Linked DNA regions of Sus scrofa. The protein of the gene in region 1 interacts with the protein of each later gene in a biochemical or structural test. Links are inferred from orthologs where the notes say so. Each region holds a gene or a part of one and is shown in the gene's direction. Other genes may lie near its edges.

Region 1 (4,364 bases):
TAAGGATCTGGCCTTGCTGTGAACTGTTGGGTAGGTCACAGACATGGCTCTGATTCTGCATTGCTATGGTGTAGGCTGGCAGCTGTAGCTCCAATTGGACCCCTAGCCTGGGAACTCCACATACCCAGGGTGCAGCCCTAAAAAGCAAAAAAATAAAATAAAATAAATAATAATACACAAACTCATTTTAGAAAAATAAAAAAAGAGAAACAAAAATGAATTAGGTAATATACATCAACAACAATCACTTTCAATAATTTTAGGACTATCCTTCCAAAGTTTTATCTATATTTTTGAACTGTTAAAATTTTTTAGTTACTACTATATAATAAACTTTTTTCTACAGTCTGGTTGTTACAAGTTAATAATAATTCACTTTGTGGTATACAACAGTTTTAAAATCAAACTTTCAATGTTGGACTATATTGTGCTAGCATTTCTCAAGTACATATAAAGACGATGATGATCATCATTTATATAGTTTTCTTTTTATCTATCCTTGGGGGTTCCCTAGAGTCTCAGACAGGGCATTTCTAATAGGCTGGGGAACATTCTTCCAGATCTCAAAGAATTATCATTGAATTGGTTAAAAGTTTGCAGGTTAAATATTCAAAGGAAATCCCTTCTGTTTGTAATTCAGCATAGTCAATGGTTTGGTCAAACCTTGACTCTTGACAAGTTTGTCTCCTTTATTCAATACGTACTAATAGAATATTGGATATGGGGATATAAAGATGAGTAAGAGCCTATGCAGGGCAAATAACAATTTAGTGCAGTATGCAGATTTGCTGTCAAATAGAACACCATGTGCTTAAATTCTGCAGTAGGTGGATGCAAAAGGCTGTGTTGAACATAGCGTAAAGCAATGTACAAACCAGTGATTACTTGTAACACTTTTTTAGAAGAATGTCTGTTTTTATTTAATATTTGGTGGTTGAGGAAAAGATATAACCTATTACCTCTCTTTCTTATCTGCTAATTACTCTTGTTTCTCACATGGTGGTTGGCGCAGTTTGCTTACTTTTAGCATGTAAACTTAGAGGAAATATCGTCTAACTCTACCGAAGAAGGAATTTAGAAATGATCAATCATATAGCTAACATAAGGATGACAAAACAAACAAAAATCACACTAACAGGCACTCTTCTTAGACAACAAAACAGTGAGACGTCAACTGGGAAAACCGTATCATTGTCAACTCTGTGGCGTCACGCCAATAAGCGGAGGCGGTAAAAGAGAGGCCTGCAGAAGCCTCTACGCTGCAGCAGGCGGCGCAAGACCCGGGCAATTTTTCGAGCAGCGCTGGGATTACTGCCAAGCTGGGGAAGCACAGCGACCCGGCACAGCGAGCCGTTAAGAACGACTGTAAGACTGCGGTGGCGTCACGCCCGGAAACCGACGCACAAACTTACGTCTCCGAGCCCTCCTTTGAGGCCCCGCCCACTCATCGCCCTAGAGCCCGTAGGGGCACAGGGGGCGTGGCCAAGAGCTTGGAGTAGAGAATGCGCATGCGTACTTTGAAACCCCGGTCTCTTAGCTAACTATCAATCTCGCGAGTGTTGAAAGTCGGTGGCGTAGGTAGTAGACCTGGATGCTGGCGAGATACCTGATATCTACCAGAGGAAGAAGAGGAGGCGGCTAGGCTAGTTCCTGGTCTTGGTCCTTCTTGCTTTCCTTTCTTTTTCCCCCAACTCTCCGCCCTCCTGTAAATCGGCCTGCCTTCTCTGACCTCAGTGACCCGGGTGGCCCCGCCCACCCTCGTCGACGTGATTCCCGCCGTGAGGTAAAGCGCCGGTCGAACCCAGAGCCGGGAGGAAGAGGAGGACAGCTAGAGGGGGAGGCTCCTGGGCCTGGCTTGGGCTCGTCGCCGAGCTGCGGAGAGGAAGCATTCGGGTGGTCCTTCCGCTCCTCCATCGGCTCACTGCGACGTAGCCACCCAGGCCTAGGCCTCCTCCTCATCCCTGCTGGGCCGGGCCTCTGGCAGCAGCGGGTGACGCAGACGGAACATCATGTCGTCCGCGGCCGACCCTCCGCCACCCCCGCCTCCCGAGAGCGCGCCTTCCAAGCCCGCATCCTCCGCCGCCTGTAGCGGGAGCAACAACAGCAACAAAGGCGGCCCCGAGGGCTTCGGCGTCCCGGCGGCTCCCTCCGCGGCCGGCGCCGGCCCCACGGACTCCGAGATGGAGGTAAGGACGGCCTGTGGCATGGGGAGAGGGCGGGATAGGGAGGAGGAACTGGTTCCCTCTGCTGTGTATTGGTGATAAAACGCGAAGCCGAACTTCACTCCTCTGCACCCAAACTCGGCCTCAGACCCTTGGATGATCCGAAATGATGCTCTCCCTTGCGCCCTTCTGCTTACCTATGCAAGTAGACTCAGCTGGGTCTCTGGCACCTCATATTTGCGTTATTTGTCTCTTTCGCGAACCTTGCCAAATCCTCAAACGCTCTTATTAGACACATGTTCTTGATTACTGAGGCCGAGACGGATCTGCCGACTTTTTTTTTTAAGTGAGGCTCCCATAATTCCCTCGCCCATCTCTGAATCTCGATTTTAGTTTCCACTAAACCTGGGGGGAGGGGGAGGGAGATTTCCCTTTAGGAACGAGGGTAGACGGACGGGGTGGGGAAGGCATTTAAAAGCAGCGCATCCGAGGATTTGGGCCTCCTTTTCTTCATCCCGGTCCTTGCGGGGGCGGTATCTGTTCTGGGCAGAAACAATGGCGAGAGCTGGATGGCTGAGGGCGCAGTGGGGATAAGCGGGGCGCAGCTGCTCCTGTGAAGGGAGAGGAGGCTCCTCCCAGGCGCTGTTCCATTGGGAGGGAAGCGACCAAGGCAGCGGCAGCTGTCTGGAACCCCCATCTAATTTGGGGGTGGGGTGATGGATGGAAGGATGAATGATTTAGTGAGTCAGGGGTTGGGGGGGGGTTGGGGGTTTTCAGACCAGCACTCCTGTAGGGCATTGGCCTGTATTTGAGAATTGGTACCCCTCCCTGCCGCGGAGCCTGCCTTCTGGGCTGGGGTTGGCCGGCCAGGGGATGGTGACAATACTGCGGGGGTGGAAAGATTGGGGAACAGCCAGGCGGGTCTCTTGGGTGTGCTCCAAGGCTTTGCGATGTCTGGGAACAAAGTGATTGCTTGCTCCTTCCAAATTTTATTCTTGGCTTTCGATCTGTTTTGATATATGTTATAGTCGCAGGCCAGAGATTTCTGGGACTTTTCCATCCTTAGATAGATTGAGCTAAGGTAATACTGCTTTAAAAATGAACATTGCTGCAGAATTAACGCAATAAGGAAATGGTAGCGCGGTTTACCATTGAAGCATTTGGCGCAGTAGTTTTATTTGGGCCCCAGCGGTCTAGTCTAGGATGAAGTAACACGTTAGTTTTTGGAAGAACTTTTAGGTGAAGGTGGACCTCGATAGAATAGGACTTCTGGTATTCTGTAGTTTTCGGTGTCTTGAGATTTGTTTCAAATTCCTGTCTGGTGTTGCCTATTTTTCTCTTTAGGTTTTAAATCGTTTTTTGAATTATCAGGGTTAACGTGGATTCCTGCTTCCTGGCCTAAGGGGGTTTGAAAGTCTGACATTGAAAGCAATTGTATGTAAATATACCGTTCTGAACAAATTGATGTTTTGCTGTTCTCAGCTTCTCAAAGGGGGCTGTCATTCAAATTTTGGAATAACAAGCACAGTCTCACTAGGGGTGTTACAGAATCAGAAAGCAGAATAATTTAAAGCCTAAACTGAATATTTTGGCTTCAGTTGCTATTTTTAAAGTTAAAGTGGAATAAAAGTTTAACTATGATTATTAAGGATATAACAAGGACCATATGAAGTCAGTGGTATTTTTATTTGCCAAATGAGAAAATTGAGTCTTCTGGTAAGTAGAACCTGTGATAGAACCCAGGTCTGGCTCTGAAGCTGACCATTTCCCCACGTATCTTGCCCTGTCATAGTCTTAAAAAAAGATGTTTGACAATTTTTATTTATTAAAGAATGATTTAGTTATCTTTTACCTTCTCAGTATAGGAATATCAGTAGTTTTATCCACCTTTTCACTGAATAGTTTTAGTTTTTGTTTTTTCCCTTACATTATAGGGTGGTTTTTCTTTTTTTCATTTTGGGGGGGGGGTCTTAAAAAAAAAAATACCTTCAGTCTCTTCTTTTTCCTTAACTGAATTTAGAAATCATTGAAGTTCACTGGTTAAAAACTAGATTTCTGCATACATGTGTAACGTATCTGACAATCTGTTTCACAACTTAAAAAAATATTTTAGGAGTTCCCGTCATTGCGTAGTGGAAACGAATCTGACTAGGAATCATGAGGTTGCAGGTTCGATCCCCCTGGCCTTGCTCAGTGGGTTAA
Region 2 (4,393 bases), on another chromosome or scaffold:
GTGTCTATTTCCTCTTTCTTTTACTCAACACATTTATTGACCACCAAATATGGGAAGGGACCTGTTATGGGCATAGAGAACAATAATGACCAAAAAAAGTCCCAGTTCTAAAGAGTTTATAATATAAGCCAAAGATAGCAAACTACTGGCCTGGGATTGCACCTGGCATATAACTTGTTTTGTATGGCCTGCACTTTGAGCCATTATTTAAAGATGGAAATAGCCCATAATGTTCAGATTTCTGGGTTCTCTCAAAGGGGGGTCCAATTCCAACTAGACAGCCACTGGCTGGAGCTGTGTACCTCCTGACATCTTTAAACCATGTGTATTCTAGTCAAGTGGAGCCCTCCCCCACCAAACCCCATATTCTCTAAGAGAAGAGTTTCAGTTGCCATTTATCACTGCATTTGCTGTTGTTTTTCTCATAATAGGGAAATAGTTCTCTGTACTCATGTTTCTATCAAAAACAGGAAAACTAAGCATGACCTGAGGCAGCAGGTTTCAAGGAAAACAACTGTTCAGTGGGAGTGAGGAGAGTTTCTACTACGTAATATGAAAATGATACAACTTAAAAAGCCAATGCAGTATTTCTCTTGTGGCGCAGAGTGTTAAGGGTACCTCCCACCTGAGTCACTGCTGTGGTGCAGGTTCCATCCCTGGCCTGAGAACTTCCATATGCAGTGGTCGCCCCACCGCTCCCTCGGGGGGGGGGGGGGGGACCATTGTAAAACCATGCTGATGCTTTTGACTAGGAAAGATGAACGATGATCAAGTCAATGAACTAAAACATAAATACAAGTTTAACAGGGTTTGTTTTTGAATGCGAATGTTATTCTTAAAACCGGCTGCTTATGGACCTTTTGTTACCTGACCAGCTCGAAGTGAACCCCAAGGTCTAATCATGCCCATCTTTTTGTTGCCAGCCCTACACTGTACTGACAAAGTAGTCTGCATTAAAAATTTTAGGTTAACACTTATCCTTAATACCATTATTACAAAGTTGAGAGCGGTGAAAAGATTTAAGAGGGGATATCAGGGCCTGGAGAGTTCAATAAAGATTCCCTGCTTCCAGAAGAGGGAAGTGGGAGAATCCGGCCAAGGAGGGCCGCGCTTCCGCGGAGCCAAAGCAGAGGCCAAGCGGCTAGGAAGCCGAAGCCTACAAGGAAGACGCTGCTCCTCAACCCGCGGTGAAGACAGCAGCGGGGCCAAGCGCCAGGTCCCGCCTCTCTTCCGAAGGGACCCGCCCCGCCGGCTCAGTCCACGCCTTCGTCTCCCAAGCCAGCCTCCGACAGCACCGTTGCCAGGCAGCGGCGCAGAGCACTATGGGAAAGGGACGGAAGCCCCAGAAGGCCATACTTAATTTGCTAAGCAAGTTCCAGACGAGGTGGTGGCGTGAAGCAGGGAAGCGAGCTTGGGAAGGGGCGCCAGGTGCCGTTGTGGCCTGATAGAAACCCCTAGGGCTAAAACTAGCGGCGTGGAAAGTTCAGATGAACAGACGACTGCAGTCGGAGGCGGGGCTGGGGGAGGAGGGAGGATATGGCGCGCGGGGCACTGTGGGACACGGTGTGGGCAAAACGGGGCGGAACGGAAGCCTCGTTGGGTCAGACGGTGGCGACGCGGGAAGTCCGGACGCTGTAGCGGCCTGAAGAGGAGGCCGGCTCCGGCCGTGGCAATGGCGGAGAGGCCCGAGGACCTAAACCTGCCCAATGCCGTCATCACCAGGATCATCAAGGAGGCGGTGAGCATCTCCGGCTGGCGGATGGGCCAGGGGCGGACGAGCAGGCAAGGGTAAAGAGGTCCTGGGGCAGTAGCTTTGCTCACCCCCTCTCTTGTCACAGCTCCCGGAAGGTGTCAACATCTCCAAGGAGGCCCGGAGCGCCATCTCCCGCGCCGCCAGCGTCTTCGTGTTGTACGCCACATCCTGGTGAGGCGGGCAGAGCTAACCAGAGCTTAGCTGGGGGCTGAGGCTTAAGGGAGACGCAGACACCCCCCCCACCCCTGGTTCGGAGTTCGCGGCCTAGAACCCGCAAACCCCAATAATTATGATCTTCCCCAGTGGAGGGAGGTTCAGAGTCTTCATCCAGGTATTGCAAGCTGTGGAACAAAATAAAACAGAGTAACTTTGCCTTACCCTTTTGTACAGGGAAGGGAGGGACTTACTGTGTCACCAAAATCCATGTATCTTAGACTTGGGCATTTCCATTCCACCTCTGGGTCGTCCTTTTCCCACTCACTGCATACGGGCCAAGAAGGATTCTGACAGCCCTTAATCTTCTTGTTCAGCGCCAACAACTTCGCGATGAAAGGGAAACGCAAGACGCTGAATGCCAGCGATGTTCTCTCAGCCATGGAGGAGATGGAGTTTCAGCGGTTCGTTACTCCCTTAAAAGAAGCTCTGGAAGGTAACGACCTCTTCGTTTACTCAACCAAGTAGATGTTCATCCTGTATGACCTGCTCACTTGGCCCTAAGTCTTCATTAGCTTGAGTCCCTTTAGGTCCAGTAAGCAAGTATTGGGTGAGATTCAAATGGCACTACCTCATATCAGTTTTGTGATGCTGGGCAGGTTATTTTTCCTTCTGTGCCTCAGTGTTTCCAGTTATGCAGTGGTATTAGTGGCTGCAGTCTGTTTGGTTCAGCCTTGTCTCCCAACTCCCTCCTTCATCCTTACAGCTTATAGAAGGGAGCAGAAAGGTAAGAAGGAAGCTTCAGAGCAAAAGAAGAAGGACAAAGACAAAAAAACAGATTCAGAAGAGCAAGACAAGAGCAGGGATGAGGACAACGACGAAGATGAGGAAAGGCTGGAGGAAGAAGAACAGAATGAAGAGGAGGACGTGGACAACTGAAGAGGATGGGGAGACTGGCGCCTTGGAAGGTACAGCTCTGAAACGTTTGTGTGCAGCTTTTTCCTGCTGGACAGAGTAGTCTTGGGCAGAAGAGCCTGAGAAGATGGAAGTAAAAACTGATTAAAATTATCATCAAAACCAGCGTGTCCCAGATTCAGAGCATCTGAGTAGCAGAATCTTGTTTTGCTTCATGAGCCTGAAGGTTATGACTTTTTGGCAGGAGGGATTATGAACAGCCAATTGGTCACTGGGAGCATTTTTGTTTACTTACGTACATAGTTAGGCAGTTGTTGATCCCCAGGTCCCACCCATTCACCCACGGCTCAAAAAAGTAACAAAGCTTCCATGCCACCTACTGCGTTCCAAATCACAGAAGCAGTCAAGACTCAGGAAAACCTGGGGCTTTGCTTATAGACAGCCTATTTGTACAGTATTTGGCAATACTAGCTTCTTACAAGTGATCAGAATGACTTAGCTTTAGGAAACCACTAAAGGGTGTAGAACAGTGAAATCTGTTCTTTTGTCTCTTCACTTGACAGTAACATTAACTGAATTTTGGTTTTTACAGACCCACTTGGCTTAGAGCCCTTCTCTATTGCCAGTAGGCATGTAACCCGCTTGGGTGGCTACCTTCTGGGCACCAAATGCATTTACATCAGCAGTGTAGAGTAGAATTAGTCAAGCAAGATTGCCAATGTGTCTTACAACAGATGGTGTAGTCTTGAATGCACCTCACTGCCTGCCATTGTACAGCTTTAGGGTATGTGGTCACCTCCTGGAAGGTATAAAACTCCAGGCTTTCTCTTGTAGTCCCGCTCCCGGATTTGTGGTATGGCTTTTCATTCTTCTAATTCCTGATGAATTCCAAACTTTCTTTCTTCTAGGTACAACGTTCTTGCTCTGTGCTTCTCTCCTGTCTCTGTTCTGCCTCTCCTCTGCTCCCCATTCCCACTTTCTGTCCCTCCTTTTTTCACTTCTGCCAGGAACTTTGATGACCTGCTTAATATCTCAAACTATGGGTTCCTCTGATTCCCTAGTTCTAATCTCATGTCTTTTAAAAATGATTTTGTAGACCTCTCTGAACGTTAAGGGAAATCCGATGGTGCTCAGGAATCCAATTCCTCCCCCAAGCCATCCCTTCTAAAGTATCTCTGTTAACCTTATTTTCTTTCCATTTGGCGCTTCAAGCACTTTTTGTCTCTAAGTTGAGTGCTTGGAGGTTGACAGGTAGTGAAATATAGTTTGATGCTGTTCATTTGTTAAACGAATCCAGTGAAAAGTTTGTCAAGAAATGAGTGAAGGATATTGAGAAAATTATAATGCCTTGTATAAATAAAAAACATTCTTGTAAAAAGTGACGTCTCCTATTTCATCCTACTTGTTTATAAGTGTGCTTTTGGGGAGGACCCACTGATCATGCGCTGCAGTTTTTAGAGTGTAGACGAGGACAGACCCTTATAAATATGAGGTCCTGGAGTTCCCGTTGTGGTTCAGTGGTTAACCATGAGGTTGCAGGTTCAATCCCTGGTGTCGATCAGTGGGTTAAGG

The links.
Region 2: the proteins of SMARCA5 (region 1) and POLE3 form a complex in vitro, tested with the Homo sapiens proteins (2 studies listed by BioGRID). The link is inferred for Sus scrofa from reciprocal best matches to the Homo sapiens genes SMARCA5 and POLE3.

The regions. Positions count from the first base shown.
Region 1 is NC_010450.4:84,222,069-84,226,432, reverse strand, and holds the start of SMARCA5 (SWI/SNF-related matrix-associated actin-dependent regulator of chromatin subfamily A member 5), read left to right. Parts: upstream 1-1,489; 5' UTR 1,490-2,009; coding exon 2,010-2,186; intron 2,187-4,364. UniProt on the Homo sapiens protein: ATPase that possesses intrinsic ATP-dependent nucleosome-remodeling activity.
Region 2 is NC_010443.5:254,033,184-254,037,576, reverse strand, and holds POLE3 (DNA polymerase epsilon subunit 3), read left to right. Parts: upstream 1-1,352; 5' UTR 1,353-1,672; coding exon 1,673-1,738; intron 1,739-1,838; coding exon 1,839-1,924; intron 1,925-2,283; coding exon 2,284-2,402; intron 2,403-2,672; coding exon 2,673-2,845; 3' UTR 2,846-4,199; downstream 4,200-4,393. UniProt on the Homo sapiens protein: Accessory component of the DNA polymerase epsilon complex. Participates in DNA repair and in chromosomal DNA replication.